Linked DNA regions of Caenorhabditis elegans. The protein of the gene in region 4 purifies or fractionates together with the protein of the main gene of each other region. This does not show direct contact. Each region holds a gene or a part of one and is shown on either strand. Other genes may lie near its edges. The genes, in order: dnpp-1, Y26E6A.3, agxt-1 and app-1.

Region 1 (6,773 bases), on a different chromosome or scaffold from region 4:
ACGAGACATCCATCCGAATGGCTGATCTCAAAGGTGGAGAATCCAGCAATGAGGTGACGCTGAAGGACGGAACTGGAAAACAAATCAACTATTCCGAACCAACTTGGGATGGTGATGAGCTTTTAACTGTGAATGATAGCACAAACTGGTGGAATGTGTATAAATCAGCTGCAGAGCCAAATTCCGTCGAGAAGAACCTGAATCCAATTCAACGAGAGATCAGCTACCCGCTTTGGCAGCTTGGTTTCAGAAATTATGTTCTGAATAAAAAATATTTGGTGAGAATTTTAGATTGGAAATTCAAAACATTCTTCAAATATTTTAAACCTAAGTTTACAATTTTCAATATAATTAGTTGAACTAAACACAAAAATTCGAATTTTTAAATTGACCTAATGAAATTTAAATATTTCAGGTAATGAACGCAGACGGAATTTTGTATGTCCGATCGGGAGATGTTACTGTAGAGATTCCAACTCCAGGCTATACTGTATTTGGATATCTTTCACTCGACCAGAATGGTTCTGATCTTTTCGCAATTGCTTCTGGACCAAAACGAGCTTCAAGCGTTATTTCCATCGATCTCGCGAACAAAAATTTCCCATTAAAAGTTCATCGCGAATCCCGAGATTCTTCGGAAATCGACGCTCTCGAGATTTCGGAACCAGAAGAATTTGTGTTCAAATCGGATGGAGTTGATGTTTCTGGTTATTTTTATCCACCGAAAAACTGTTCATATTCTGCTCCAGCTGGAACACTTCCTCCAGTTTTACTTCTCGGACATGGTGGCCCGACGGCTCCAGCTCAGAATAATTTGGATCTTAAAAAACAGTTCTTCACGTCGAGAGGTATTGCTGTTTTTGATGTAAATTATCGAGGATCAACTGGATTTGGAACTGAATTCCGGAGAATGCTTTATAAAAATTGTGGAGTAGCTGATAGAGATGATATGTTGAATGGAGCAAAAGCACTTGTTGAGCAAGGAAAAGTGGATGCCGAAAAAGTTCTGATCACTGGAAGTTCATCTGGAGGGTAGGAATTTAATATTATAGTCATTGTTAAAGTTTTATAAATATTTTTATTCAGGTATCTGATTCTGAGCTGTCTTATCTCACCGAAAAATATCATAAAAGCAGCAGTTTCTGTGTATGGAGTTGCTGATCTATTGGCTTTAGATGAAGATACTCATAAACTGGAAAGATGTTACAATGAGATGCTTATCGGAAAATATCCTGAGCAAGCGAGCATTTACGAAGAAAGAAGTCCCATTTATCATATTGATAAAATTAGAACTCCTATTGCATTCTTGCATGGAAGGGAGGATACGGTAGTACCGATGAGCCAATCTATCACAATGTATGAGAAGATCCGTGCTAGTGGAGTTACAACTGCTCTGATGCTTTTCGATGGAGAAGGACATGGATTTAGGAATGGACAAGTGATCAAGGAAAGCACCGAAGCCACTTTCTACTTTTTGATGAAGGCCGTTGGAATTGAACCATCAATTAGTTCGAAGATCGAAATTGTTAATCCGAAGCATTAGATTTGTTTTTGTTTAAATTGTTATCTATAAAATTTCAGCTTTTAAAAAATGCATTGCTTTATTTATTTGAAAACCAAATAAATTATAGAAATTAATATTCACAGAGAAACTGAAGATTGGATATCACGACGCGATTAAATAGTAGAAATTATGATTGGGAAGGATCAACATTGATTTGCCTATTGCATGTTGGAGAGGACAGTTGACAGACGTTCGTAGAATGTAGAGTAGAGAGTGGTGGCCTGGTAGATGCTCGAAGTGTCGGCAAACTCGCTGAAATCAAGAAAATAAATGATGTGATTTAAAAGTTAAATCCCTACCGAATCGAGTGCATAGCCAACTGTGGGCATCCTACATCGACAGTCTGCAAGCCAAGTTTTGTGGCAAGAATCGGTCCAACCGTCGATCCACAAGGAGAATCATTGCGAACGACGACAACTTGAAGAGGAACTTGAGCTTCGAATGCAACTTGCTTGAGAGCAGCGTGTGTGGTTGAAGTTGTTGCATATCGTTGATTGACGTTTACTTTGACGACGACTCCACCATGGAATGCTGGACGATGGTTCTCTTCGTGTTTTGCCGAATAGTTTGGATGCGTGGCATGAGCTTGATCTGCAGAGATGAGCATGCTCTTTCCGATTGCTTCTTCGAAAGCGGTTGTTGAGCCTCCAGCAGAAAGACGGCGGAGAACGAACTCCGTGAAAGAAGAAGATGCTCCCATCGCGGAATCCGATCCTACTTCCTCGTTATCGAAGCATGCGGCAATACGAATTTGTGGGTCATTCTTGAATGACTCTCCAGTTAGAGACTCGAGAAGTCCACTTATCGCAGTGTATGTTCCAACTTGGTTATCAAGACGAGCTCCAGAAATGAATTCATCCTCCATTCCAACAATCGCAGCCTTGTTTGTATCGTAAAGGTAGAGATCCAAATCAACGATGTCTTCTGGCTGACATCCAGCTTCCTTCGCGATTAATCCGAGGAATTGGGGATGATGATTGTTGGTAATGTTTCGTGGATCGGCAAAACCAGTAGACTCGGGTTTCTGTGGTGCATTGATTCCAGCAGCAGCGAAGGTTTCCAGAATCGGGCGGAGCTCAGTTTCCGTGTTTGGTTTGAATGTTGTTCTGAGAAATAAATTGCAAAATTAGGACGATAGTGACAAATTTCAAATACCTGTCGGTCTCCAAATGAATCGCCAAATTTGGAATGAAAAGAACTGGCTTTTTCACGTCGATCAGCTTGTGTTGAAGTTTCTCTCCATTCTTGACAATAACCAATCCAGCCACCGACAAGTCACGGTCAAACCAGGTTCTCCAGATTCCACCTCCGTAAGTTGATACACCAACTTGAAGGAATTTATCAGACTTTTGGTGGGAAATTGGTTTGACACGGAGGCATGGACTGTCAGTGTGTCCCACAACAATCGAGAATCCACTCCCTGGCTTGTAAGATCCTCCAACAGCGAATGCAAGAATTGCAGAGCGGTTCTTGGTGACAAAGTATTTGCTGGTTGGCTGAATGTCCCAGTGACCCGATTCTGGAAGCTCTGTGAAACCGGCTTGTAGAAGGCGATCCTTCACTTCTTGGGTGGCTGCAATTGATATACTTTTGAATATAAAAATAAATAATAAATATTACCATGAAATGGAGTAACTGCTTTATTCAGATAGTTGATGAACTCTTGTGCAGCTTTGCGGATCTCCGGAGCACTTGGTTTCAGAGCAGCGGCCATCTAAATTAAATAAACTTATTTATGAAAAGACAAAGAAAGAATAGTGAAAACCTTTTTGGGTTGATAGCTGGTATTGGGCTCAATTTCATGTTTTGGATAGCAGCCGCACACTACTTTCAATTTTTCGGAAATACGATTTTTTCGAAACGACTTCTTTGTCATGATTCAAACTCAAAATGAATTGAGCCCAATATTTTACTACCATCGGAGTGAAAATGAAAAAAGATAAGACAAAATGTTGCATAAAATTTGAATCTGGAATGATTTTCTATAAGCGATAAACGGTTAGTTTCTACTGGGCGAAAGTTCGAGAGAAGAATATGTGGTGCTGATTATCAAAAATGCGTTATCAGTGATAGTTATCAAGGTTTCTAATAGAAAGAATCAAAAATGAAGGAAAAGATAATGGAGAAGACATGAGAAAAGCGAAAAGATCAGGAATTATTTGAGGAAAGTTAGTGAAAAAAAAATTGACAGGAAAAAAACGTCGGAAAATTTTAGAAATCGAAAAGAAGAAAAGAACAATTTTTAACGTAGAGTAGTACTGTATTCAAGGCGCAACGCTTAAATCATTTTTTGGGTCCTGGAAAGAAAACTACAATAGCTGGAAATGTTCTGAACTTTGAATATAATTATAAATTTTATATATAAAATTTTGTTCATCTTGATTTTTCAGAGCGATATATTGTTTATAAATAGAATGATTTTTACTACAAATTTTTAAATTTTTATGAATAAAAAATAAATTAAACATATAATAACATTTTCATAACTCAACAGAATGAAATATGTTTATTTCACTCCAGAAAACATTTACTTTTCTCTTGGAAGTCGTTTAATGAAATTAATACTAAAACTGCTCGATTATTATGTTTAATGCTCTTTAAATGTGTCACCAAATGGCCTAGGTTTTCAACCTAGTCCTTGCCAACATTGTGATGAGACCTTTTTTATTTAATTAATCAAATGACTCATATATTTTTCGAATAAATCAAGAATTTTCTAGAAAAATGACAGAACCGTCGGCTAGCGAAGAAGTGTCTGCCGGAGTGAATGCAGAGGTAAGAGTGTTGCATTTTAATCGATAATTCAAAGACCCTTAAATTTCAGGAGCCGCCAATACCGTCCAAAAAGATTTCGCAAGTCTCACCGAATCCAACGCTTCAATGCGAAATGTGCCAGAATTATGAAGTGAATTTGACTGCATTACAGGTGAGAATCATGGGAACACGGCAAATATGCAAATGATTTTTGTTTGTTTTGCAGGAAAACGAACGAAAGTTAAAGGAAGAAGTGAAGGCGGCAATGGAGTTGAACGAAAGATATCAATTGGATTTGAGCAATGAACGAGACTATCGAAAAGAATTGGAAAAGAAAATGAACGAATTATCGACTAATTGTTTGAATCAGGTTAACGAGGCGGCAAAGGCAAATGCCAAGTCGGAGCAGCGGCTGGACGAGCTCAGTGCGAAGGTATTTTAAATAAATAAAAAGAATAACTTTTAAAAAAGCTTAATTTCAGCACGACAAATCGATAGAAGTATTCACTGATCAATTGAATTTGGCTCGTGACAAACTGCAACAAGCCGACGATGACTTTGTTACATTAGGAAAAAAGTACAAAAAGCTTCTCGGGTCCACACGAAAATCAGCACAAGAACTTCGGTCCGAGAAAATCGATATGCCAGCTGATCTTGATCAATTACAATTTATTTGTCTCAAGAATAGGGAAGAATTGATAGAAACTCGAGCTGCAAAAGAGCACACCGAGCAGCAGCTGCAGGATGAGATCACCGTCCTGCGAGCTCAGATTCTAGAAGAAAGAGCGCACAGAGAAGATCAGGAAGTGACATTTACTGCAGAGATCAGCAGATTGCAGTCGGAATTAGGAAAGATCAACACTCGAATGGTTGTTGCATCGGAAACAATTGCAGATCAAGATTCGAATATCAGACAAATTAGAGATCTTCAAACAACTGTCGGTGAACTTGAGACGCAGGTTCAGCAGGTTCAAAATGAGAGAGCCGCTGTTGAACAGACGGCACAGAACTACAAGCAACGGTGCACAAGTCTTCAACAAGAACTCGACACATCTGAAGTTGTGCAGAGAGATTTTGTGAAATTATCTCAAAGCCTCCAAATTCAATTGGAGAAGATTCGACAGTCGGAACAAGAAGTACGATGGCAATGGGATGATGATGTAGATCAATGCTCAAATTGTGATACATCGTTTGCTAGAGTTAAAGTTAAACCTCAGTAAGTTTTTGAAAATGGAAGTTTGAATTTCTGATAAAAAATTACAAGAAAATTATTTTCTTCATTTTCAAAAATAAATTTTACACTTTTCCAATTAAAATATGTCAAACAGAAGATTTTAAAAAGAAAAAAAATATATAGTGATTATGAATCAAGCGTTCGGTACCCTTTCTTAAAACGACCTAAAATATTTTTAAAAAAAGGCTTCGAAAAATAAAAAATCACGCATAGTTTTCCAGAAATAGCAGATTTTTATAAGGAAAAATTTTTAAAAAAGTGCGAAAAATAAGAGATAGCACTATTTTACTTTTTCATGGAATATTTCAGTCACTTTTATTTTTCAAATCTTTTAGCTGTCTTCATTGTGGTCGGATATTCTGCATGAACTGCCTGAAAGACACCGTTCCAAGTGGACCAAATCATCGACCAGCCAATGTGTGCAAAGTATGTCACACACTGCTCAATCGGGATACAAAACCATTCTTTGCAACGCAGGATAAGTAATAATTCATCTGGAATGCTTATTCTGTCGCTGATTATCCACAACTCGCCCTTCCAATTTCACTTTCGCCACCTTTTCCCGATTTTATATGTGCATCATCCGTGTGCTAGAATGTCTAGTCTTTTAATTCTTGTACAATGCTTAATCTATTCTATATACGTACATATATACCAGAAATTGATCTAAAATTGTGCATTAAAATTTGTTTTATTGACTTTTATGAAATTAGAATTATTTAATTAGAATCAATGGAAAAGTTTTCGATCACAGTTTCGTCGTTGCTTGATGTCAAGATGCTGATGGATTCCAAATTTCCTGGCTTGTCAATATGCCACGTGGAATCTCCGGTTTTGTCCATAATTTCAGATCTATTCAGAAGCAGGTCAATTGAATTGGAAGTAGTGCAAGTTATGGTCAGGGTACTGTAGTTGACAGAATCGAAAGTGAATAGTCTGGAAAAAATTATAATGAGTAAATTTTTGTATGTTCATAACTTACAGAAATTTTCGATTTCTGCCAAAAAGAGTGAGTCCTGTAGAGTCAATTACTTGGTGGCAGAAGGAGCTTAAAATTTGAGGCTGAAGCTGCACTGTGCTCAGGCGGTAGTGCCAATTTTGATCCATTCCAGTACAGAAGTTGGTGCCAAAGTTTATAGAAGTTAGAGGACGAGTTCGGATGTGTGGAAGAAGTTTGGACCAGAAGCTGGAATTAAATTAAAATTTCAATAAAACTTAAAT
Region 2 (6,406 bases), on a different chromosome or scaffold from region 4:
TTTACGATGGCAGAGCATCTTAGGCTTACAAAAATGAATGTGTTCTCTCATCTGATCTCTCGTGACAACTTCTTCCGGCCGAAAAGTAAAAATGTGGAAACCAAGCACATCGAGCAAGATGATGTGAAATTGTTCGATCTCTTAAAACTTCCTCCGGAGATGATAGAGCAGATCATGCAACGAGTAAGTTTTCAATTCTGGGAAAATACTTCTAAAAATAAAAAAATCTGAATCTCTCCTTTTCAAAAAAACAACGTTAAACACTTTTTGAGCAGATGCACTTCCAACCGGATGATTCCTAAGATTAAAAAAAATTTTCAGTCGGCTTACAAAGACGCTCAAAGTCTAGCAATCACGTGCAGTGCTGCCAATAACATTTACCGACAGAATAGTCTGAAAATGGTGCTCCCAGATGTCATTTTGATTCTTGACTTCTCCAGTGGCGAGATGAATGTCCGATGGATATTGGAGAAAAATCAACAAGAAAATGAAAGCGATCCAGACTCTGAAAAATGCTTGAATCAATCCGAAGTCAACGAGAAGAAGAAAACCCAGCTGCTGCGTAACACAACTATTTTAAAAATTGTCACCACTGATGATTTCGAACCGGAATACTGTGAAGCTGTGCACAACTTCGTTGGATCCAGAACATTTAAAAGAATCATTGTCAAGGGTTTCGAGTACACGGAGAATTTGAAAATGATGGTGGAAATGTTTGACAAAGAAGTTGTGGAGATTGAAGTGAACGCACTAACTGACGACTTCATTCCGTTCCCAGATGTGAGTTGTACTTAGAATTTGAGAAAATTTGAATTTTTCGTGTTATGGTTTAAAGAGCGTTCCAAAAAAGTAGGATCATGCAATAAGTTAATAAAAATTCCAATATCCCCTAAAAGTTTTAAATGCAATAACTGAGACGCAATTCAATTTTAAAAGTATAGATTTTTTTTGGCCGACTTCCAATTTTTTTGACCATAATTGCAAACTTTCAAGTTTTTAAAAATAATTTTTTACAATTACATCAAGGCAATTTAGTACTTCATGAGCTGATTTAAATAATTTCCCTACTGAAAATACTCTACATTTTAATTTAAAAATAAATTTAAAATAAACAAGTGTTATGTAGAAGCAATACAAATTTTCAGATCAAAACCATATCCATCCGCGACACTCTCAACAGGGATCACGGAGAACGGCTCTTTTCTGCGAAGCATTTTGTCAACATCAATTGTGCTCTCAACAATATCGACACATTCCGAAAAGCTCTTCGTGATTGGGATAATGGACACCGAGAAGTTGGTAGATGGGTAATTCTGAAACAATTCACCATCTTCCAAACACCCTTTGGTAGACGTCATCGGCCGAAGACTTCCTTCCGAAAGGGGTATTTGGAGTTTATCAGTGAGCTCAACTCATCACAAATGCCACATGGAGAAATAACCGAATACGTTTTTCACGAGACTAATTAACATGATTCTTAGCGAAAATGAAACCAACTAATCTACTTTTATGAGAAAATTATTTATTTCTTACATTCCCTAAAATTTTCTATATAACAATTTTTCTATAGTTTTTTATAACAGTTTTTTGTAATATTTGTTGTCACTAATTCTTGTTCATCTCAAAAACTATTAGACTCCAACCCGGTTTTTTTTTCACACAGCTCATTCCACTTCTAAGTTATTGTTTTGTTTTGTCAAATCTCCAATTCCCAAGCAAATCTATTATCCAGTCATTCATGTTGATGAAACAATAAACTTTGGTACACTTTTTGTAGATTGGTTTTCGTCATGCATTTTCAGTAGTAAAAAAATCTAAAGCGTGATACATTTACCGCAAAGTAACATTTATGGGTTAATACTGTGGTATAACAAAAATGGCCTCAAACAACCAAATATGTACCACCTATAGTATGCCAACCGGCTTAACATGTGCCTAAATCGATTAAAAAACAAGAAGTAAAAATAGAAATATGCCTAATAAGTTTATAATTAGAACAAATTAATTTCAGCGTTCTGCGAGTGCTGATTTCAGATGAATTTGATTTTTTCTTTTGAAATTTTATATATTCGTTTTGAGTTTTGTTTTACTATATAATGTCGAGATTTGATTTTTCTAGGAAATTGATAAAAATATTTAGGTTCAAATTAAAGTATATAAAAAAGCAAGATCTAAAAAAACTCGCAGAAAACGCGCTCTTTTAATTTTTGTCTTATTACTAAAATTTTCAGCTGAATTAGTTTCCATTTAATATTTGAAACCTTTTAAAATACTTCTAAAAGTTGAAAATTATTAAGAAAAACAAAAATTTCACGAAAAACAAAACAAAACATTGATGCCCTACTTTCTCTGGCCTTATACGTGGCAAGGCTTGCAGCTCGCTTTGGCTGGCAGGACACGTGTAACTTTTGCACTCTCATTTTTTTCACAGTTTTGTAAACAAAATCTCTTTTTAGTTTCTTTTTTCTCTCTTTTAACCGTTTTTTTTTGCTATTCCTCTTTTAATCTGCCTTTTGCGCATTTACACTGTACTTAACTTTTTGCCGTTCGTTCGCTCTTCTTCCCATGCATAACACTTGCCATTCCTCCTTTTTTCCCACACAAACAACAACTATCGATTTCTGGTATTCCAATCTTCTGTTGTTTTTTTTTGTTTTCTCTCTTACCAGTCTCTTCATTCTGGTTAGCATCTATCTCAAACTGTTATAAACCCTATAAAAAGTGCGCGCGCGTACCTTTCTCTTTTACCACTGACTGTTTCACATTTTGAATCAAATAACAATTGAACGTAGTTGCAGCGATTGGTGATGTTGAGAGCGCCAGCTGCCGAATCGAACAAGGATGTGATTTTGGAGGTGTTGAGAAGATTCGCAACATCTGGAAAGAAAGTAAGTTTTTAAAAAATGTGTTTCACATTTTTTTAAAATGAAAACATTAACGATATATATATATTTTTTTTTTTCAGGTGTTCGAGCTAGCTTCTGGAACTGGACAGCATATGGAACATTTTGCACGGGCTCTGCCGGATGTCACTTTTCAACCGACTGAAGTTAATGGTCGATACCTCCATTCCATCGTTTCTTATTTGGATCAAAGTCAGGTTAGTCAGCAGTTAGTTGCCCTGCCCAAATTTCCACTTTTCACAATAGCAAAAAAGAGATAATACTTGAATTAAAATGACTGCATTTTTCCACACTCCTGTTGAAAAACCTTTAAAAAATTTTAATTGCCAGCAATTGACAGAATGTTTTAACAAAAAACCACACTCCAGACTGTTGGGGTGAACAATAATTCTAAACTAATTTTTGATTTCTCTTTTTTTACAACTTTTTATGAAAACTCAACTTTATGTTTTTGTAACCATAAAGTAATATTTTTCAGTTTCCAAACGTCCGCATCCCCCTCTTCATCGACGTTGCAAAACCATTCAATCAATGGGCTCTTCCTGCGGATTTCGGACCTCATATGGTAAATTGTTTCCAGACTATATTGGAAAATAACTTCGTTTTTTTTCAGGTCGACATTGTTCTCAATATCAACATGATTCACATTTGCTCCACGGCTGCAGTTAAAGGCCTTTTTCAAGTAAGTTTTTTTTTTTGATAAATGTCAAAGGTGAAATACGAATTTCAAAAATAGTAGGATAAATTTCAATGGGACTGAATTTTTTCTTCAAGTTGCAAATAATTTTGAAATAAAAACAAATTTTATCACATCAAATTCAAACACTTCTGAACTAATTTAACCTTTTTTACAGTCTGCCGACTTGCTTCTTCACGAGACGAACGGAATCCTCATGACTTATGGACCATATGCAGAGGATGGACACATTTCACCACAATCAAACATCGCATTTCATACAAATCTGAAAGCTGAAGATCCGGAACATGGCCTCAAGGATATCAAATATCTGGAGAGGGTAAGGAGATTTTTTTTTAAAGTTAATCTCGGTTTTATTACCATGAAACTGAACGCTTAGTCAGAATTTTTTTCGAGAATTTAAATATAAATTCATAGTTTATAACATATTGAATTTTCAGCTTGCAAACAGTTCGAACCTCCGTCTTGCCGAAAAGATTACAGTTCCGAAGAATAATTTCATTTTGATCTTTTCCCGTTAAACGCTTGTACTTTTTATTTTCAATCTGTTCTCCTGTACTTGTAATACTTGTAATACGCTAGATTTTCAGCGATGCATGGCCTTGATAACTCCTTTTAACTGCAAATAATATTTGCAATATTACGCTCTTTAATATAATATAAAGCATGTTTGATTTCAATATTCTATGATATATGATGATTTTAAAGCATTTTCAAGTGTAATTAATTTCTCCATTTTCAGGTTGAAGTCGATATTAACAGTTGTCTTTTTGAAATGGATTCCAAATTGCTATTTAAAAATTTTATTCAAATATTTTACCTATTGGAAAATAATTACTCTTTTCAAGAAACCATTTTCGAACTTCCTCAAGAAACGTTTCAAGTATTGAAGCAGGTGTTTTGCCACCTTCATGTTATGTTTCTTTGACGCAGTTATTTCTGGTCTAGTGAGCAGAGCCGATTCTTGGTGTTAATGTGAAGTCATTCTATAACAGTGGAACTAGACATTTCAAAAAGAAGTGCGCGGATGTCAAATTAAAAAAAAAACTTAAAAAAAAAAATTTAAAAAAACTCTGGAATTAAGAAAAGATTGACTATATGGGTGATTGTACGGATATTTTAATGCTTTAAGAATATTTGATTGGCATTACAGAAATAGATTTTGTTCGTTCTGCTGAATTTAAAATTGCAGCTGAACCCAGCAGCATCTAAGCACAATTACTAATTTTGCTTGTTTGTATGTTTCGATTTGCTATCACCAAATAGTTTGCGCGTGTGATTTTTATTTTTTTATTTTTAAGCGTTTCATTATTTTTTTTTAAAGTTTTATCATCTATCATTTTGTGACAAGTAAAACTTTGTCTGGTTTATCTGATCTGACCAGAAATCGCACAAACGGGTAATAATCCTTTTAGCTTAAAAGTATGAACATTTCAATGTCGCTCGAGTAAGATCAAAAAATCAATCTAAGAAAAAATAGCGCTCAACAATAAAAAGTATTTTTATATTTATTTACTTCATTTTATTTACGATCAGCTTTTCTTTTAAATTTGAATTTCATTTATTTGTGTGCAAGCTGCTAAAAAAGTTTCTTGATGCATTAAAAAACAATTGATTTCAATATTCATATTACAAGTGCGTGGAAACTTCTGGTTTTTTTTTCAGTTTGTGTGATTTGTAACAAGTATACAACAAATGTTTATAGGCAATTTTCCAGTTAAAACATCTGCTAGGAGATCAACAAAAAGTTCAACAGCCGGAAAATTGGAATTCTTGGTTTCCCAGCGTGATTTGTGTCGAATATTGAAGCTACATTAATGAGCACCTTCGATATTGGAGATGGTAAGTAGTTTTTCTGTGTATTTCTGAATTGATGTTCCAGCTAATTTGTGAAGTTTCGGCAGCTCAAAAACTAAATCCTTCTTTTAAATGTTGTAGCCTACGGGTTTTTTACCGTCTTCGACAAAATTGAGCTATGTCTCATCGGATTCAGAATCATACATCATACATGAATCATACATGAATAAACATCGGTACATAAATACGAATTTTGTGCAAAACCCCAGGCGTTCTGTTTTACACTTATTAGATGTCAAAGTGAAAAGTTCAACCAACCATAAACTTTGGAAAGTGTAAAATTTAAAAAAAAAACGTGTCTATACCCCATCAACTGTATATGAAAGATTCTTACTGATAAAATATCTCATCGTGAAAGGTGAGCTTTCCCTTTTTGTTTGGTTTTTTTTTAGTAGAAAAGTGGTAGCAATTTTGATACACGTCTCATTTGTGACCCAATCACGTTTAATGTGCCTCTATGAAATCTTTGAATATTTGTATTTTTGATTGAGATCAAATTTAGGTATTTTTCAAAGATTGAATTTTCTTACCGTAGTGATGTGGTATTCAAAATGTACTCTTGTAGTATAAAATTTTGTGCTTTGCGGTAATTTCTCTACCAACTTTAGCAACTTTGAAGTTGCCAATCGCAAAAATTGCTGAAGATGGGCAAAGTCTGTTAAGTTGGGGGTTAGCACCTCAGCTGCATCAAAATTAACTCAAATTGCTAGAGTTAGATGAAAAACCGAAGTATTAGTTTTTGACCCTGTTTTGCAGGAATGCAGAATAAGAACTAGTTCAAGATGATTACAAAATTGCAGATGTTTTTTTTTCAAATCACGAAACCACGCGTTAAACGTACATATTGTTTCCATATTTTATGACAATTAACAACTTAGACAACATTTATTTTATTAATCCTGAACGTATTTTAGGTACTTTTCAAACTCGCAATGTTTCATGAATCAGA
Region 3 (8,491 bases), on a different chromosome or scaffold from region 4:
CGGATTTGTGAGTTTTCTTTTTTTACAGAAGATATCTTTTCAAGCTTTGATAGTATGTTTCGTGAAGCTTGACTATTAGTTTAACATTTCGTAAAACCAAATGTTTGTATCTACAACTTTTCATAAACACTTCTTCAGATTTTGTGCTTCGTCGTAATTATGTTCTCAGCCGGTTTGAATGTAGAATCCATCGTTCGCAACAACTTCCCGCCAACCCAATTCCTTTGGAAGCAACCGGAAATGTTCAATCCAAATTTTATTCAACACCATCTTGAACTCTACATCAAACCACAATATCGCATTGGACCATATCTTATTGGAATTCTTCTTGGTTATCAATTGGCTAGATATCAACGAATTCCTGTGAAACCACAGCAAAGCAACAAATATATCAGTGAGTTTGAATTTATTTTTAGCTGTTAAAACAAATGTTCATCTTTCATGAACCAATATATTTTTTTAAATTAAAAACTAATTATTTTATTTTAAAAAAATTCTAAGCCTTCTTAATTCCAGTTTCAATGTGGTCAGTGGCACTTGTGGGAATCCTTTTCGGTTTGTACGGTCTCTACCCAGCTCTTCAAGGATGGGATTCAATTGCCTGGAGAGCATATCACTTGCTCTATGGAGCACTCCATCGTGACATTTTCTCAATTGGTATTGCATTCCTTATCTACATCTGTCATACTGGAATTGGTGGACCTGTCAATGTCTTCCTCTCCTCCAATTTCTTCTTACCATTGGCCAACTTGAGTTTCTCGGTTAGTTTTCAAATTTCTAATGTTAAAATAGGATTACTCTCATTCTTAAACTTCAAATTAAATCTTTCATAGAACCTTACTTCCTTGTATCACTACAATGTTTACGTTTAATTATTTTATTTTGATAGAATAGGAAGTGTTTTAATGTTTTGTTTTGATGAAGAGAAATACTTGGTTATTAGAAAAACCAAATTATTTTACAGTTTATTCAACCTGAAATCTTTCAAATTACAAGTACCACTTTGACAAATGAATGAAAATATGTGCTTCGAAAATTGAAAAGGCAAAATATTGGCTTTATAAAAATAAAATATTTTCAGGCCTACTTGTTCCACATGATTCCAGTGGTACTCACTTACATGCTCGTTCCCTTCCCAATATATTTCAATACTCAAATTCCACTCTTCATTCATTGTTTTGTTCAACTTCTCATTACATATTTCTTTGCCATAATATGCACAATGGTCAGTGAACTTCCAGCTCTGAATATCGAAAGGTTATTGCTTGCCTCTCCACCAAAAACTACACTCAAACCGAGTCCACCAACAGATTCGGAAATTCAATTAAAGCCTTCCGATAAGGCTTAATTTCTAATTGTTTTAATTTTTGACTCAAAAATTCATTTTCATCAGGCACGGGACATTTGAGGTAAATAGTGGGTGATCATTTCCTTGTCAACCCGAATTCATTACGAGTAGTCTCATTCATTTCTTAAATTGTTTCATTTCATTCCGCCATTCACTTTTTCATTTGTTAGCTCCTCTTTCATTTGCTTTACATTTCTTTTAGATTAGTTGAAATTTTTCTGTTCTTCTTTCTTGATGGTCTTTCAGTAATTGATTATTCCCCCGGTCATCGACTGTTTTTCCTTCGCTTCTTCTATTTTTATCATGTAAATAGAAATTCTTGTTTTTTGTTCATTCAAATTAAAACCCATAAAAACATTAAATAAATTTAAAATGTTCATACAAAACGCATACGAAATTACAATAAATCATAAATTAGCATGAAATCACAAATTGATGGATCTACGACTGATGGATCTACTTGCTGAAAATATAAATAATTTGATAAGGAAACGGATCAATTAAATTTTTGACCTTTTCTCTCCAATTGATTTCGACAAAAGTTCCACAACATTTTCGATTTTTGTCGAATTCGAGTTAATTCCAAACGTTCCGATTCTCCAGATTTTACCAACAGTTGCACCAAGTCCTCCAGCAATCTAAAATTAAAACAAGTTACGGTTTTCAAACTTCAAATTGGTGGATTTTCGAATTTACCTCCGTTCCATTTGTCATCATTTTTCCAGCAACATCTTTCCAGTCAACACCCTCCGGTACTTTCACAGTAGTCAAACATGGCAATCTCAATTTCTCATCCACTACAAATGGTTCCAATCCATGCTTTTTCAGAGTAGCATACAACACTTGAGCATTATCTTTATGTCTTTGGATTGATTCATCAATTCCTTCTTTTGCAATTGCAGAAAGTGCTGCACGAAGAGCATATACAGTGGAGATTGGAGCAGTGTGGTGATATCTGAAATTTTTCAATAAATTTCATCATTTCATAGTTTTTTCCAACCTTTTCAATTCTCCATCACAACCCCAATAGTTGCCCAATTCGATGGCATCAAAGTAGAACGAGGCGACGCGTTGTTTTCGGTTCCGGATTTTTTCCCTAAAAATGAAGAGGAATGCAACTATATGTGTTTTGTTTCTTATTCTTACATGGCTCGATCGGAGAATGAGATAGGCGCAAGTCCTGGTGGAGCGTTGAGAACTTTCTGGGTTGCCGAATAGACACAATCAACTTTCAGATCATCTGCTGCAAATGGAGTTCCACCGAGGGACGCCACCTGAAAATGAAAACTTTGATCATTAAACATCTATTTTCAATTTTGAGACTCGTTCGGCAAATTTCAATTTTACTACATTAAAAAACACCTTAAACTTTTCAGAAACAAAACCGTTAATTTTTGAAACATTGTAAGATTTATAAATAAATGGTGAGGATCGAGAAAGTTAAAAAAAACCACAAACCGTATCAACAAGGAACAGAGCACCATGCTCTCTGCAAGCATCTCCAATTGTTTCCAATGGTTGAGCAACTCCCGTTGAACTATCTCCCTGACAGACAAAAACCAAATTTGGTTTGTAATCAGCAATTGCCTTTCTGATATCCTCAACTGGAACTGCTTGCCCCTGCGGAGCAGTAATCTTCTTAACTTCGATTCCCATTCTATCAATTTTTAATTTGTAACAAGAATATTGATTTTAAAAACCTATTAGCCAAATCAGCAGCTCTTTGTCCCCAAAGTCCAATTTCTACTACAAGGAATTTGTCCCCGGGCTCGAGAAGATTAACCATCGCGCATTCCATTCCAGAATGACCTGAATATTAGATTTGATATTGAGAAAGTTGATATATGCACACTAACCAGTTCCACTGACAGCAAACGTATACTTATTGTCGGTTTTGAAGACATACTGAAGACCCAGACGAACATCTGCCATAATCTGAAATTAAAGCTTTATGAATTAGTTTTCGATTTACTATTTTTCCAACAAAACATAAAAAGATACCTGAACAAATTCTGGATGCAAGTGTCCTAACAAATTGCGAGATTGGGTCTCAGCAATCGAATCAGCCATGTTCGATGGTCCTGGTCCAAAAAGTTGCCGCGGTGGGACAACCATATCTTGCAGAAGAGCTTTTGGTGGAGCACGAGACGACATTGATGACTGGAAAAAAAGTAAAATACATAAATACTCGAAGAACATGGTAATCGATTTGGAAGTGATAATTTGAGAATATAATAACTAAAAGGTCGTTCAACACGTGGTTCTCAAAACAAATGTTATTAAAAACAAAACATTAACGAAAAACTGATCTTAAATTTAACTAAAATGTTTTCCATTTCGCAGTACTGACATGGAACTAATATGAAATGCGCTCTATTTGCATGTAGAATGGAGTAGAGACACAGAGAAACCAATTGGTCAAGAGGAGATTGAACGGTGTGTCCAAATGGTCAAGAATTGGTTTGATGTCTAGGGGAGAAGGGTTGAAGGGTCGAATGCCAAACGGCATACTAGATGGTTAGAAATTTTCCATAAATCAAAGTGGGTTTTTTTTTCACCAAATACTGTAAAAATCAAGTACATGATTTTAGAGTTTGAACTCGAAAGACATAATTTTCATGCTGTTAGATAATTTTTTTTAAGGAAAAAACCTTCAAAAACTTTTTTTAATGAACAATGGCATATAAATATAAAATAATTGCAGTAACTAAAAAGATTGTATCAATGAACAGTTTCATCAATGATAACACATATGTTGATGTATGATGACAATAAACTCTCAGAGGCGGTTCCAATTTGTGTACTCAATAAACCTATTATTTTTGAACCAATTGAACTCACCTTAATTCCAAATCCAAAAATCGAGACTGAAGGTCTTAGAAATCGCGTTGAAATCATATCTTCGAAATTAAATCAATTGAGGAAGAATATTGAGGTAGAGAAGAAAACTTGAGGAGGTTGTCCTGCAGGCGGCAAATATCTCTGTGACTCCTCAAAGTACATTGTTCTTTCATTTTCACTGACTGACTGACTGACTGAGGGGCTATTTTATCACAATGTATAAATGACCAGTCGATGGTATAAATGATAACGAGAAGACACCCAGAGATCGGTCAATTTTTAGAGAAGAGTTCAAAGAAACACTTGAAAGTGCACTGGGGAAAACCTCGTGGTTATTTTATAGTTTATGGAAATTGAGTGGAAAACAACACTTTTTTGCAATTTGGTTTGAGCATAATTTTTATGGATAGTTCATTGGCACATTTCCGTTAATCTAGAAAATAACGTTTCAAGATTTAGGAGATCATCCGAAAAAAACTAGTGGAATTTTTTAAATACACAGTTTAAAAATCAGTTAAAATTTTAATAAAGTGCGAACAATAAGCTATAATGGGAACTAAAGTGGTCTAATCAATGACGTGGAATTAGTCAGATGGCTACAAAAAAACATTAAAACATTTTTCAAAATTGTCTACCAAATAATGAAACTAGAAAATTTAAGGACTACCAACTTATCTTACTCAAAACAATACAAATCGAGAAAGATTACCAACTTCAAGAGAGTTTAATTTGAACTTTACCTCGAACAACGAGCAGATCCAGAGAAGTTTAGACTTCGGAATAAATTTTTTTTCTAGTTTCATTTCCATGAAAATAGCATTTCACGTCTACAGAAATTGATACGATGAATAAATTTAGAAATTAATATTTAAAAGTTCATTGGTTTGTGTTAACTTTGGAAAAATAATAAAGCTTTGAGATATTAACTTCTGAACATTTTCAAATTTAGCTTCTACATCTTATTCCTTGAATTTCGCCTAGCTTCGTCTGAAATCTCCTCACATTTTTCTTTACCCAAATCTATAAATGAGTTTTTCAGCCAATTCACTTGTATGCCTGGAGATACCTTGAGAATTCGGAAAGTACTGATTCGTGAAGAACACTTTCCAGATCACACGAGTTTATTGCACATTTTGAAATGTTTTGAACAATTGCACATTTTATTGATAAAAATAAGAAAACTGCTCAGGTTTTTCGAAATCGAGTTGGATTCAATTACAGGTCAACTCAAATTTGTGATGTCTCGTGATCTTTGAAGCTCTCCGGTTTCAGTGTCTGTTTTTGCTGTGAACACTATCTTTCTCTATCTTTTTTTTCTTCAGCTTCATCCTTTGAGCTTTTTCGTCTTCATTTCTTCATCTCCTCCCTCGCTTTTAACTTCTCACACTGGATCACAAGCGTGCCCTTCGATCCCGATCCTCTTGGCCGAATATCTTTACACACCGACTTGATGTCTGCGTCTCACCAATCATTTTGAATGTTTCGAGAGGATAGAGATAGTTGCTCATCGCCCGGGAGTCACAGCTGCCTCTTCCTGCTTCTCCTCCACCTCCTCTACATTCCAAAGCAAAAAGAGTTTGTATTATTGAAGAATCATGTTGTTTCTGCATCATTCTAGATCACTCGTCATATCTAACCACACTTTCAAACTTTCTTGCCCAACGCAAACCATTTTGAAAATGTGTTTCATTTGTTTGCCGAACAAAAATGCATCTAAAGAGCTGCCCCTACCTCTTGATGGATCATGCGAAAAAAAGGCGGGACGTTCAAACTGTTGACTCTTTTCTTTTTTCGTTTATCTTATCTCTCTCTCGTGTTGCTCTTTGTCTCATCTTATTGTAAATTGATTTTCGAAAAATTTCAGATATTCTAATCACATTTTCCAACATTTCAATGGTCGCTGCCACAGAAATGGATGGAGAATCTATAGTTGATATTAAAGTAAGGCATAATTGTAATGATAAAAAACGAGATTTAGAAATTTAAGTTTTTGATTGTGAAAATGAGTAATGAGTAATGAAATTAGGCATTGGAAAATATACTAAATTTTTGCAGTAGTTGCCTACTTAAAACGGCTTTCACACCAAAATTTCTTCAGAAAAGATTTTATAGAATTCGTTTTGTTTTCCAGCATGATCAAATTGAAGATGACGAGACAGAAGAAAAAGAACCTCCTGTAATGAAGTTGGATTTCGAAAAACTATTCAAAATGGCAGAAGATCCAGATCTTGAGGAATTGCTAAGATCACCATTGGATCAGGCTCTAATCAATTTAGAGTAAGATTTATTAATTAAAAAATCAAAATTGATTTTTCGACATTTTGTAAAAAAGGAAATCGTTCATACCATAAAATTTTCAGAGACGGAACTGAAATTCAAAAGCTCACATCAATTCGCACATTTCCTGACATTCTGGACACCTCCGACGGAGAAAAGTGCCTTCTAAAAATGCTACCAGCAATTCAAAAATGTTTGAAAATTGAAAAATCAAACCTAGACCTTCACTGTGAAGCTGCAGTTGTCTATAAGTCAATTATTCAAAATGAGGACCTCGTGAAAAAATTTCAGTGAGTATTAAAACATTCCACTACTTTAAAATAACAAGCTTTCTAGGGGAATCGTTGATCTTCTACTCGAGAATATTCTTCAAAATATTCAAAATCAAAAAGAGCATCGTAAGTATTTTCCAAGTATCGTATGTACATGTTTTTCCACCTTTCCCCTTCTATCCTCTATCCTAACCATTTCCAGACACTCAGGAAAAGGAAAAAATTGTTATAAAAGCTGGCAGTAGCATCAACAATCAAATGCATCATTGTATGTATTCTCAACTAACAATTTATTTGTTTTTAATAATACCTTTACCTTTTTACCTAATACTCTTTTGAATTACCATTTTAGACATTGACAAAACTATAAAAATTATAACATTAACAACTAAAAAAAACTTGCGCACTAAATAAATTATGTGTAAATTTTAAATTCATATTTTTCAGTGAGTGCCGCTGCTTGGTTAGAAACAATTGTTGAAGTTGCAGACAAATTGTCACTAAGCTCAATCAAATTATATGTAAGCATAAATATTAGATATCCCCTTCATTTAATTTTCAGGTGGTTCCTGTAATTCAAACACAAGCAGAACCTGTTCAGAGGGTACAAAGACGAATTATTGCCACTAAGATTATTCACAAGTTGGCATTGTTTTTACCTCCGAACGAGTGAGTTTGTTATTTGAAATTGTTTCATTTCGCTCTCATAATAGTCCTAACCTACCGGCTTTCTAAAATATATTTAACTTACAAAAAATGTAACTAGGCAATGAACGAATTAAAACATTTTAAGAATAAGAAAAGAACTGTGCCCAATTGTTACCACCTTGTGCAAAGATGCCAATTCAAATGTGAGAGTAGCAGTTGCTCAACGACTTTTTGTCATTGCAAATGCTCTTAAGTAAGTTGTTGGGGTTTTTTGTTTTAGTGTAAAATCATTTAACTTTCAGAAACTCGCACGATGTTGTGTCCTGTCTTTTGCCTTCATATGTACATTTATTAAATGATGAAGAAATGAATGTGAGAGAAGCTGCAATGAATAGTTTGACTGATGCATTCTCCTTGTTCACAAGAGGTTTTGTCAGAAAATAATCATTTCAATTATAATTCAAATTCAAATTCAGATGCACGAAAGCACACACTCTTCTCTGTTATCAAAAAGTTAACCGAAGAGGCGCTTGAGAAAAAGAATGAAGGTCTCGCAGTGATATCGAACAACTTTGGAAAATGGTCATGGGAGCTCAATGAGCTTCTCGATCAACTTGACAAATCATGGGTTCTGAATACATACTGCAAAATGGTGCAAATATCAGACGAACTATGTGAAGGCCCACAAAAGAATATTCGTAACGTATTGAAGAAGACGTGTTGTTTCAATTATCCATGTATGCTGACTATGTTCAAAAAACACGTGGATCGATTACTTCCATTTTTAGAGATGTTCTGTACAGATCATGGTGAGTTATTTGTCCGTGTGGTCGGAGTGTCATTACCCAATTAATATAATGAATATGCTGTCTTTTTATTTTTTGCAATAAAATTAAAAATAACAATTTTCAGATGAAGAAGTTCGAGTGAGCATTGCTTCTTCCTACCATGAGGTTTTAACCATGTTCCCTGATAAACCAGATCTAATACCACCGTTCATCGAACTTCTTCATGGAGGATCTTCCGATGTCATTGCTAAAATATCTCACAATCTATCAAAAATTCTGCCGATTTTGTATGAAAATGTGAAAGAAAATCCAGGGGT
Region 4 (7,601 bases):
AACAGAGTTATAAAATGAATTATAAAATCATAGAAAATTAACGGAAGTCGATCTACCAGGTGTACTTCTTTCCAAAATTAGTTCCAGAAATAGAAATAAAAAGCGAACATTTCCAGAATTACGTAAAAGTTAATGCGAAATAGCGAAATATTGACCAAATTTAAATTTCTATCTCAATACAAGATTTGGTTCAAAAATCGGTTGAGCTAAATTTGATAGAAAATTGTTTGAAAAAGCACCGAGGCACAAAAAATTCAATTTTTTAAAGTTTTCTTACCTGTACATGCCTTAACGATGCAATGAATGATGCTGAAATTACAGCTCTTGCATATCTTCTACAATCCCGTAGATCTCCAGAACTTAAAGCTGAAGAATACATTCACTAGTAGTTCGAATTTTATATAGTATGCCTTTCGAATACTCCGTGAAATTCCCAGTGAACTGAACCATTAACCAATTTGACGTTTTTTTCTTTCGTTGGTTTTCTCTCCAAGACACCACAATTGTTAGTCATTTCTATCAAAATTTATGCTCGGATTTGCCGAAGATTCAAAAAATGACGACGAATAGACCAAAAATCAAAGTTGCATCTGTTATAAACCGAAAATATTTGGTGAGTTGGGATAAAAACATAGTTGTATTCAATAAGTTAAAAACAAATATTCCAGGCATTTAGAAAACTTGGAGAAGGTGGATGTGGAGTCATTTACGAAGTTGCGATGGTGAAGTGCCCAGGGAGAAGATTTGCGTGCAAGGTAATAATAGATTTTGACATTCTTTTAAATTACTACTTTCAGGCTGAAACTACCGTATTTGATGAGGATCCAACACTGCCAATGGAACACAAAATAATTTCAAAACTCAATGAAAAGAATTCTATCCACTGTGTGGAACTTATTGATAAAGGACAAAGCGACAACTATCAATTCATTGTTATGACACTTTTAGGACCATCACTTGATGCAATTCGAGCGACTCTTCCTACCAATAAATTCTCGACTTTTTCCACTTTAGTCATGGGAATTCAAGCATTGGATTCGATTAAAGAAATCCATGATATTGGATTTGTGCACCGAGACGTGAAGCCGGCGAACTTTGCGATAGGAGCACTTGGAACACCGAAACAACGACTTGTTCATGTTCTAGATTTCGGAATTTCTCGTCAATATTTGGTGAAAGATGGGGAGAATGGAGGATTGAGAATACGGAAACCAAGGAGAATTGTTCCATTTCGAGGTACTCTTAGATATTGTTCAGTGGCTGCTCAAGAAAGAAAAGAACAAGGAAGACATGATGATTTGTGGTCCTTGTTTTATATGATTGTCGAATTTGTGAAGGGATCACTGCCATGGTGAGTGGTGTTTTCATTTTTGAAGCTTCTGTAAAAATCTGGAAAAAAGTTTGAAGTAATATGAGCCCCACCGATAAAAATACAGTCCTAGTGTGTGCCTTTAAAGTGGCGTTTCGTGTTAAAAAAATCTTTAATCATTTTTTTTCAGGACGGGAATAATGGAAGAAGAGAAGGTGATTGTTATGAAAGAAGATGTCACGGAGCTATTCAATGGCCTTGAGTCCGAATGTGCAATGTTTGCTCAACACCTGTCAGTTCTTCGTTATCAAACGAATCCAGATTATGCACTTCTTCGAGATCTTCTCATGAATATTTTTGTTCGACGAAATTTCAATGCTCAAATGAAAGTTGATTGGGAGAAAGGTGGACGATATGAAAGCCATTTTGAGAAGAAAACTTCAACTTTGTAAGTTTTTAAATATTTTGAATATTATTAAGATAATTTGAATATGTTCAGGCCAGTTGTTATCGAGAAAGACATGACTGAAGTGGATCTGTCAAAGTTGCTGAATGTTCCGCAAAATGAGAGAAATATAACAATGGAAGAAATTATAGCTGCTGGTAAAACGACAGAGGAAGAGGGACTGAATACTGCTCAAGATGATACGATTGTTGAGGATGAAAATGGATTTTTGGTGAGATTTACGGCGAAAGTTGTTGTAGGTAGGCATGAGGTAGGCACGTAGATATGCAGATATGAGGTTGAGATCAGACCTATAGGCAGGCGCACGAGGGGTAGGCATGAGGAAGGCACAAAGTTAGGCAAGCAGAAAGTAGACAGGCAGGCATTAAGTTAGAACCAGGGAATGAATAATGAAGGCATGTATGAAGCCAGGCATAGGAAATGCAGTTTTGAGGTGCGCCTAGGCAGGTAGGTATGAGGTCAGAATAGGCATACGGGATCTGAGAATCAGGTAAGTGTGTGTTGCGTGTAGTTCTAATGCAAACGCGTAGGCAGGCATGGGGGAGCTCAATATTAATAATAAATCGTTATTAGGCAGGCATGCGGCAGGTAGATAGGCATGTAGGTAGGTGCCGTAGACAAGAGATATATTTGAAACATTCAGGGAAAACAAGAAGCCAAGCCGGCGACACCATCTGCTCGATCTGAAACCAGTAAGAAAGTGAAAAGGAGATATATTGCGAGAACACCATCGGCGCATAAGGTATAGAATACGTTATTCGACGTATTAAATTTTCCAATTTTCAGATTGAACAGATTGAAAAGAACTGGAAGAAGAAAGAGGAAGAAGCGAATAAAGAGAAGTTGCTGAAGAATGCACGGGCGGCACGAAGAGCCAAAGAAGATTTTATTGTTCCGGAGGATAATACGGTTCAAAAAAGAAAACTCGAGAGCACACAACTGTCGTCTGCAGTTTCCACGAAATCCACTAGAAGTATTGGAAAGAAGATTTTGCCGCCGAAATCATTTGAGCTTCATTGATAAATTTTATTTTTTAATTTTGTAGACACACAGACAGATGTAATCGTGCTAAAAATTACGATTTTGAAAAAAAACAATTTTTCTTTTTCTTAATTTTTTTGAATACGAAAGAATGAATTTCCAGACTGAAATTTTCATTATTCATTAATTTTCGCACGCGTAAATTTTTGGAGAGGAAATAAAAAACCGCGATGCGAGTTTGGGTTTTGCTGTTCACAGTTTGTTCAACAAATTTATTATGAGTATTTTTTAAAGGTTATTTTCTAAAATTCTAGACCTGAATTTCGAGCGAAACTCATTTTCAAATCTCCTCCTTTTTTGACCCATCAATAGAGCGCGCCTTCTCAGCTTTCGAGTCACCACCGATTAGAGGCCTGTGAGACCTCGTGTCATAAAAATTTCTGAAAAAAAGCGTGGATAATTCGTATCAGGACACGAATAAAGTTAATATTTTAAATGATCCACAGTGAAATTAACATTTTCATTGAAATTTTCGTCTTTTAATGATATTTCAAAACGTTTCCTTTGCGGTTTTCCAAGTTTCCACTTCTTGAGTCTAGAGATCTCGAGTCCGTAGATACTCTTCTCATTTTTTGGAACAGCGTTCGTTCTCGATTCGGCAGTTAATTTTTCATTTTAAAACATTTTTAGACTTCAAAAATAGTTATTTTTCAGTTTTCTTCTCAAAAAATTTCCACATCCTCTGTTGTTTTCATTCAATAGAATTCAGAGATGATTTTTGATTTCTGTATGTATAAAACCATTTGTGATTGCGTATTAAAACGATTGATCGACAATTTCGTCGTTGGTTTTATTCGTTATCAGCTCTAAAATTCGAGAAAAATGTGCAGACGATTAGACGCTTGGTTTTTAAATTTCTCTTTACAAGTTTAGCTTTAATTTTCTTTTTTTTTCAGATCGGGCAGAATTGGAGTGATGACAGCATTGGAAAAACTCGCAAAATTGAGATCCTTGTTCCATTCGGAACGGGTTCTCGCGCTCACTTCCAGCAAGCCGATGGTCGCGTATCTTCTCCCAAGCACTGACGCTCATCATGTTGGTTTTTAGGCTTCAAATAATCTTCTAAATGTTAATTTTCAGAGCGAATATCTAGCCGATTACGATTTTCGAGTGAAATTCCTGTCTGGTTTCAGTGGTTCCAATGCCTACGTTGTTGTTACCGATAGAGAAGCTCTCCTTTGGACTGATGGCCGATATTTCACTCAAGCCGGGAATCAGCTTGATTCCAACAGCTGGAAATTGATGAAACAAGGACAGCCCGATTCGATTACTGTCGTTGATTGGCTTGTGAGAGAGCTCGAGCGTGGATCCGTTATTGGATTTGATCCAACTCTGTCGACGTTCGACGCTGGTTCCAAGACATTTAAACGTCTGAAGGCAGCAGGTCTTCAACCAGTCTCGATTCCTGGAAATCTAGTCGACGAGTTCTGGACTGATCGGCCAAGACTCGCTGGTGAGCCAGTAAGTTGATAGATCTATACTGCGGGATTTAATGTTCCACTTTTCAGGTAGTCGTGCTCGATGTTGAAGACACTGGTCTTACAACTTCAAAAAAAGTCGAGAATCTTCGGGAGAAGCTGAAACAAAAAAAGTGCGACGCAGCTGTATTTACTCTTCTTGATGATGTTATGTGGCTTCTGAACATTAGAGGAAGTGATATCCCGTACAATCCTCTTGCATATTCATATCTCTTCGTGGCAATGCGCGAGATTCACGTATTTATCGACAATGAGAAACTCGATGAGAAATCTCGAGCCCATTTCCACAAATCGAATGTATCGATTCATCCATACGGAGAAGTCTATTCATGGATATCCAATTGGCTCAAGGCAAAAGAAGCGAGCAAAGAGCCTCACATGGTTTATCTCACACCAGAAACTAATTACGCTATTGGAAGCATTATTGGCGAAGAGAACTCGATGGTTGACACTTCCCTGGTTCAGGTAATTCCATGAATTTCTTGAAATTTTTGAAATTTAATCTTTTTCAGACCGCCAAGGCCACCAAAAACGATCATGAAATGCAAGGAATGAGAAACAGTCATGTAAGAATGGCTACAGCATCGTTTAGGATATAATTTAATTCTTTCTAGCTTCGTGATAGTGCTGCTCTTGTTGAGTTCCTTTGCTGGCTCGAAAAGGAGTTGCTCTCTGGAAAAAGATACACTGAAATCGAGTTAGCTGATAAGATAGACCATTTGAGAAGTCTTCAAGACAAATATGTTACTTTGAGGTTCGTTTGTTAAATATTTAAAACTACATTTAATTTATATTTATTTTCAGTTTTGATACCATATCAGCTGTCGGAGATCACGCAGCACTTCCCCATTACAAGCCTCTCGGAGAAAGTGGCAATCGTAAGGCTGCAGCCAATCAGGTGTTCCTCCTCGATTCTGGAGCTCATTATGGAGATGGAACAACCGATGTGACGAGAACTGTGTGGTACACGAACCCACCGAAAGAGTTCATTCTGCACAATACTCTTGTATTGAAGGGACACATTAATTTGGCACGGGCCAAGTTCCCTGATGGTATCTATGGTTCTCGTTTGGACACGCTGACTCGTGATGCTTTATGGAAGCTTGGTCTCGATTTTGAACATGGTACTGGACACGGTGTTGGACACTACCTTAACGTACACGAAGGACCGAGTAAGACGAAAACAGTAAATGTAACTGTTTGAATATTTATTTTCAGTCGGAATCGGTCATCGTAGTGTTCCAACCGGTGGAGAGCTTCATGCCAGCCAAGTGCTTACCATTGAGCCAGGATTCTATGCCAAGGAGAAGTACGGAATTCGAATTGAAAACTGTTACGAAACAGTTGAAGCTGTTGTCATGTCTAAAGCTCAGAACTTCTTGACATTCAAGGTATACCCAGATCCCAGGAACTTTATAAACTTATTAATTTCAGTCTCTCACTTTGGTGCCTATTCAAACTTCGATCGTCGACAAGTCTCTTCTGATTGAAGAGGAAATCAATTGGCTCAATCAATACCACGCTCGGGTTCTGAAGGAAGTTGGTGAACATCTTCAGAAACGCGGAAAAACGGATGAGCTGAAATGGCTCGCAGAAGCCTGTAAACCAATCTAAATATCTGGAACAATTACAACATGTTTTATATTATTTTAACCGGTCAACGTCTTGTTGAGCAAATTTGTGCTCAATTAACTATTTTTTATCACAATTTCTGGATCCTGGTGTAAAACTTATTCTCCCCGAATGATTCATCCGTATTCCCCTTTTTTTCTCCTGTCGTTCTTTCTCGCTTTTCCGTAGATTTCCTGTACTAATACTTGAGAATGAATCTTTTTCTTTTGTTAGTTGGAAAATTGAAACATAAATAACAATGCCGGCTAGCAGGTCTTAACAACTGTAAGCTAGAATGTTTGGTTGACGACATTTTGCTGTCGGATTTTGACATCGGTGCAGAGATTCAAGCCAAAGTGCTTACAAGTGAGCCAGGATTGGATGTAAGGTTAATAACGAATTTGAATTGAAAACTGTTGCGAAACTGATGAAGCTGTTGTGAACTGCATTCTCATAGATCCAAGATTCTCGCTTTTAACTTCTCCTCGATTTCCTGTATTTACAAATTCTTGAAAATGAATAATTTTTATTTGTTGATTCGTAAACTGAAATATTTAAAAAAAAGAAACAAAAATACGGACCAACGGGTCTTAACAAGTAAACTAGAATACGGTTTGATGACACAGATGAAAAATAATTAAAGCTTGAATATCAAGCACTAGTTGGCCGGCTTCATATAGCTGCCGCTCGCGGGAAATTTGAATTTTTGCGGAGATCTGTCCACGAATGGCTTCTTATTCTTATCGGCGATCCATGACGCTGGAATTGTGGAGATGCCCGGGGATGATTCCGCATTTTCAAGCCATTGATCTGTGCAGCATAGTCCCATGCAATCCCTATCCTCACAGAACAGCTTCGACATTGAGCTTTCTTTTGGTGGCAGCAACTGAAAATAGGATTTCGTTTTTGAAAAAGAGTAATATAAATTTATACCACAGCTGTTTCGATGTTACTCCAATCCTTTGGCTGGCCATTAAAAAAGCTGTTCTGGTAGATCTTCCGTTTTCCTGTATCAAATGATTTGATGTATGCACGACCCGTTTTCCTGATGTGCGCGATTCTCCGGGCAACATCTTCTTCGGTCTGAAAAAACAAGATACACTGGATGTGTATGAGAAAAATTGCTCACCTTGGCACCTTCAAATCGAACTTCAAGGATTGGAGTTGGGACATTCGCGAACTCCTGCGGCAATTTTCTCACAGTCAGATAATTCGTCTTCAGAGCTCTCATACTTCCTGTGTCAATCTCGATATACAAATCGAGTCCGGGTTGACTTTTGTGAGGACGAATACCACAGACATGACGAGCTCTTCGGAACATTGTACCCTCTTCCTGAAACTCCTGGAGGCACAAAATAACATTGACTCTCCAAAAATATGGCTTCATCGGCTTCCCATCTTCTTGTTTTCCTGATCTTTTGGGGTCTTTGTCGGTTCCAAACGTATCTCTTTGAAGATGTGATAGTTTGTTGTACCAAGCCAAGAATCGAGCGGAAAAATCTTTCAGCATTTGCTCCTGATCGTGTTGTTTAGGGATCACATACGCATGAAGATTTTTGTTGCTGCAGAGGACTTTTCCGATTTCCATCTCTCCCTTTTCGTAATCGAAAACATTCACATGAGGTATCAATGCAGTCAGCGCATTTGAAATCTCTTTGGGCACGATGGAGGCTACATGCTCACAGTTCGATGGTGT

What was found.
Region 1: the proteins of app-1 (region 4) and dnpp-1 fractionate together in Caenorhabditis elegans (co-fractionation; one large-scale study listed by BioGRID). This does not show direct contact.
Region 2: the proteins of app-1 (region 4) and Y26E6A.3 fractionate together in Caenorhabditis elegans (co-fractionation; one large-scale study listed by BioGRID). This does not show direct contact.
Region 3: the proteins of app-1 (region 4) and agxt-1 fractionate together in Caenorhabditis elegans (co-fractionation; one large-scale study listed by BioGRID). This does not show direct contact.

What each region holds. Positions count from the first base shown.
Region 1 is NC_003281.10:5,860,269-5,867,041, forward strand, and holds dnpp-1 (Aspartyl aminopeptidase), read right to left. Parts: upstream 3,536-6,773; 5' UTR 3,441-3,535; coding exon 3,330-3,440; intron 3,279-3,329; coding exon 3,185-3,278; intron 3,138-3,184; coding exon 2,720-3,137; intron 2,671-2,719; coding exon 1,864-2,670; intron 1,817-1,863; coding exon 1,723-1,816; 3' UTR 1,574-1,722; downstream 1-1,573. Other genes in the region: dpf-4 (Peptidase S9 prolyl oligopeptidase catalytic domain-containing protein), read left to right, coding at 1-278, 416-1,032, 1,087-1,543; rabn-5 (FYVE-type domain-containing protein), read left to right, coding at 4,289-4,339, 4,389-4,490, 4,545-4,751, 4,801-5,534, 5,888-6,038; eng-1 (mannosyl-glycoprotein endo-beta-N-acetylglucosaminidase), read right to left, coding at 6,272-6,488, 6,535-6,738. UniProt on the Caenorhabditis elegans protein: Aminopeptidase with specificity towards an acidic amino acid at the N-terminus. Plays a role in membrane trafficking and is specifically involved in the recycling and degradation of endocytic cargo.
Region 2 is NC_003284.9:13,906,288-13,912,693, reverse strand, and holds Y26E6A.3 (Methyltransferase-like 26), read left to right. Parts: upstream 1-2,743; 5' UTR 2,744-2,807; coding exon 2,808-2,888; intron 2,889-2,965; coding exon 2,966-3,100; intron 3,101-3,381; coding exon 3,382-3,468; intron 3,469-3,516; coding exon 3,517-3,585; intron 3,586-3,757; coding exon 3,758-3,919; intron 3,920-4,040; coding exon 4,041-4,121; 3' UTR 4,122-4,323; downstream 4,324-6,406. Other genes in the region: Y26E6A.2 (F-box domain-containing protein), read left to right, coding at 1-183, 322-780, 1,146-1,469.
Region 3 is NC_003280.10:8,842,078-8,850,568, reverse strand, and holds agxt-1 (Alanine--glyoxylate aminotransferase), read right to left. Parts: upstream 4,972-8,491; 5' UTR 4,930-4,971; intron 4,340-4,929; 5' UTR 4,247-4,339; coding exon 4,190-4,246; intron 3,509-4,189; coding exon 3,350-3,508; intron 3,284-3,349; coding exon 3,205-3,283; intron 3,158-3,204; coding exon 3,049-3,157; intron 3,006-3,048; coding exon 2,807-3,005; intron 2,623-2,806; coding exon 2,495-2,622; intron 2,445-2,494; coding exon 2,349-2,444; intron 2,304-2,348; coding exon 2,045-2,303; intron 1,987-2,044; coding exon 1,862-1,986; intron 1,812-1,861; coding exon 1,805-1,811; 3' UTR 1,667-1,804; downstream 1-1,666. Other genes in the region: oac-46 (Acyltransferase 3 domain-containing protein), read left to right, coding at 1-7, 139-394, 517-761, 1,082-1,348; F46C5.6 (Serine/threonine-protein phosphatase 4 regulatory subunit 4), read left to right, coding at 6,083-6,130, 6,321-6,466, 6,550-6,756, 6,803-6,864, 6,941-7,006, 7,186-7,259, 7,301-7,407, 7,532-7,639 and 3 more.
Region 4 is NC_003279.8:4,963,201-4,970,801, reverse strand, and holds app-1 (Xaa-Pro aminopeptidase app-1), read left to right. Parts: upstream 1-3,712; 5' UTR 3,713-3,731; coding exon 3,732-3,851; intron 3,852-3,896; coding exon 3,897-4,277; intron 4,278-4,324; coding exon 4,325-4,759; intron 4,760-4,806; coding exon 4,807-4,860; intron 4,861-4,908; coding exon 4,909-5,048; intron 5,049-5,098; coding exon 5,099-5,466; intron 5,467-5,512; coding exon 5,513-5,685; intron 5,686-5,728; coding exon 5,729-5,908; 3' UTR 5,909-6,135; downstream 6,136-7,601. Other genes in the region: W03G9.9 (uncharacterized protein), read right to left, coding at 278-379; W03G9.5 (Protein kinase domain-containing protein), read left to right, coding at 557-613, 669-755, 798-1,351, 1,500-1,757, 1,809-1,986, 2,419-2,517, 2,562-2,795; Protein pid-4, read right to left, coding at 6,564-6,791, 6,839-6,988, 7,035-7,601. UniProt on the Caenorhabditis elegans protein: Catalyzes the removal of a penultimate prolyl residue from the N-termini of peptides, such as Arg-Pro-Pro. Has activity towards the flp-9 neuropeptide KPSFVRF-amide.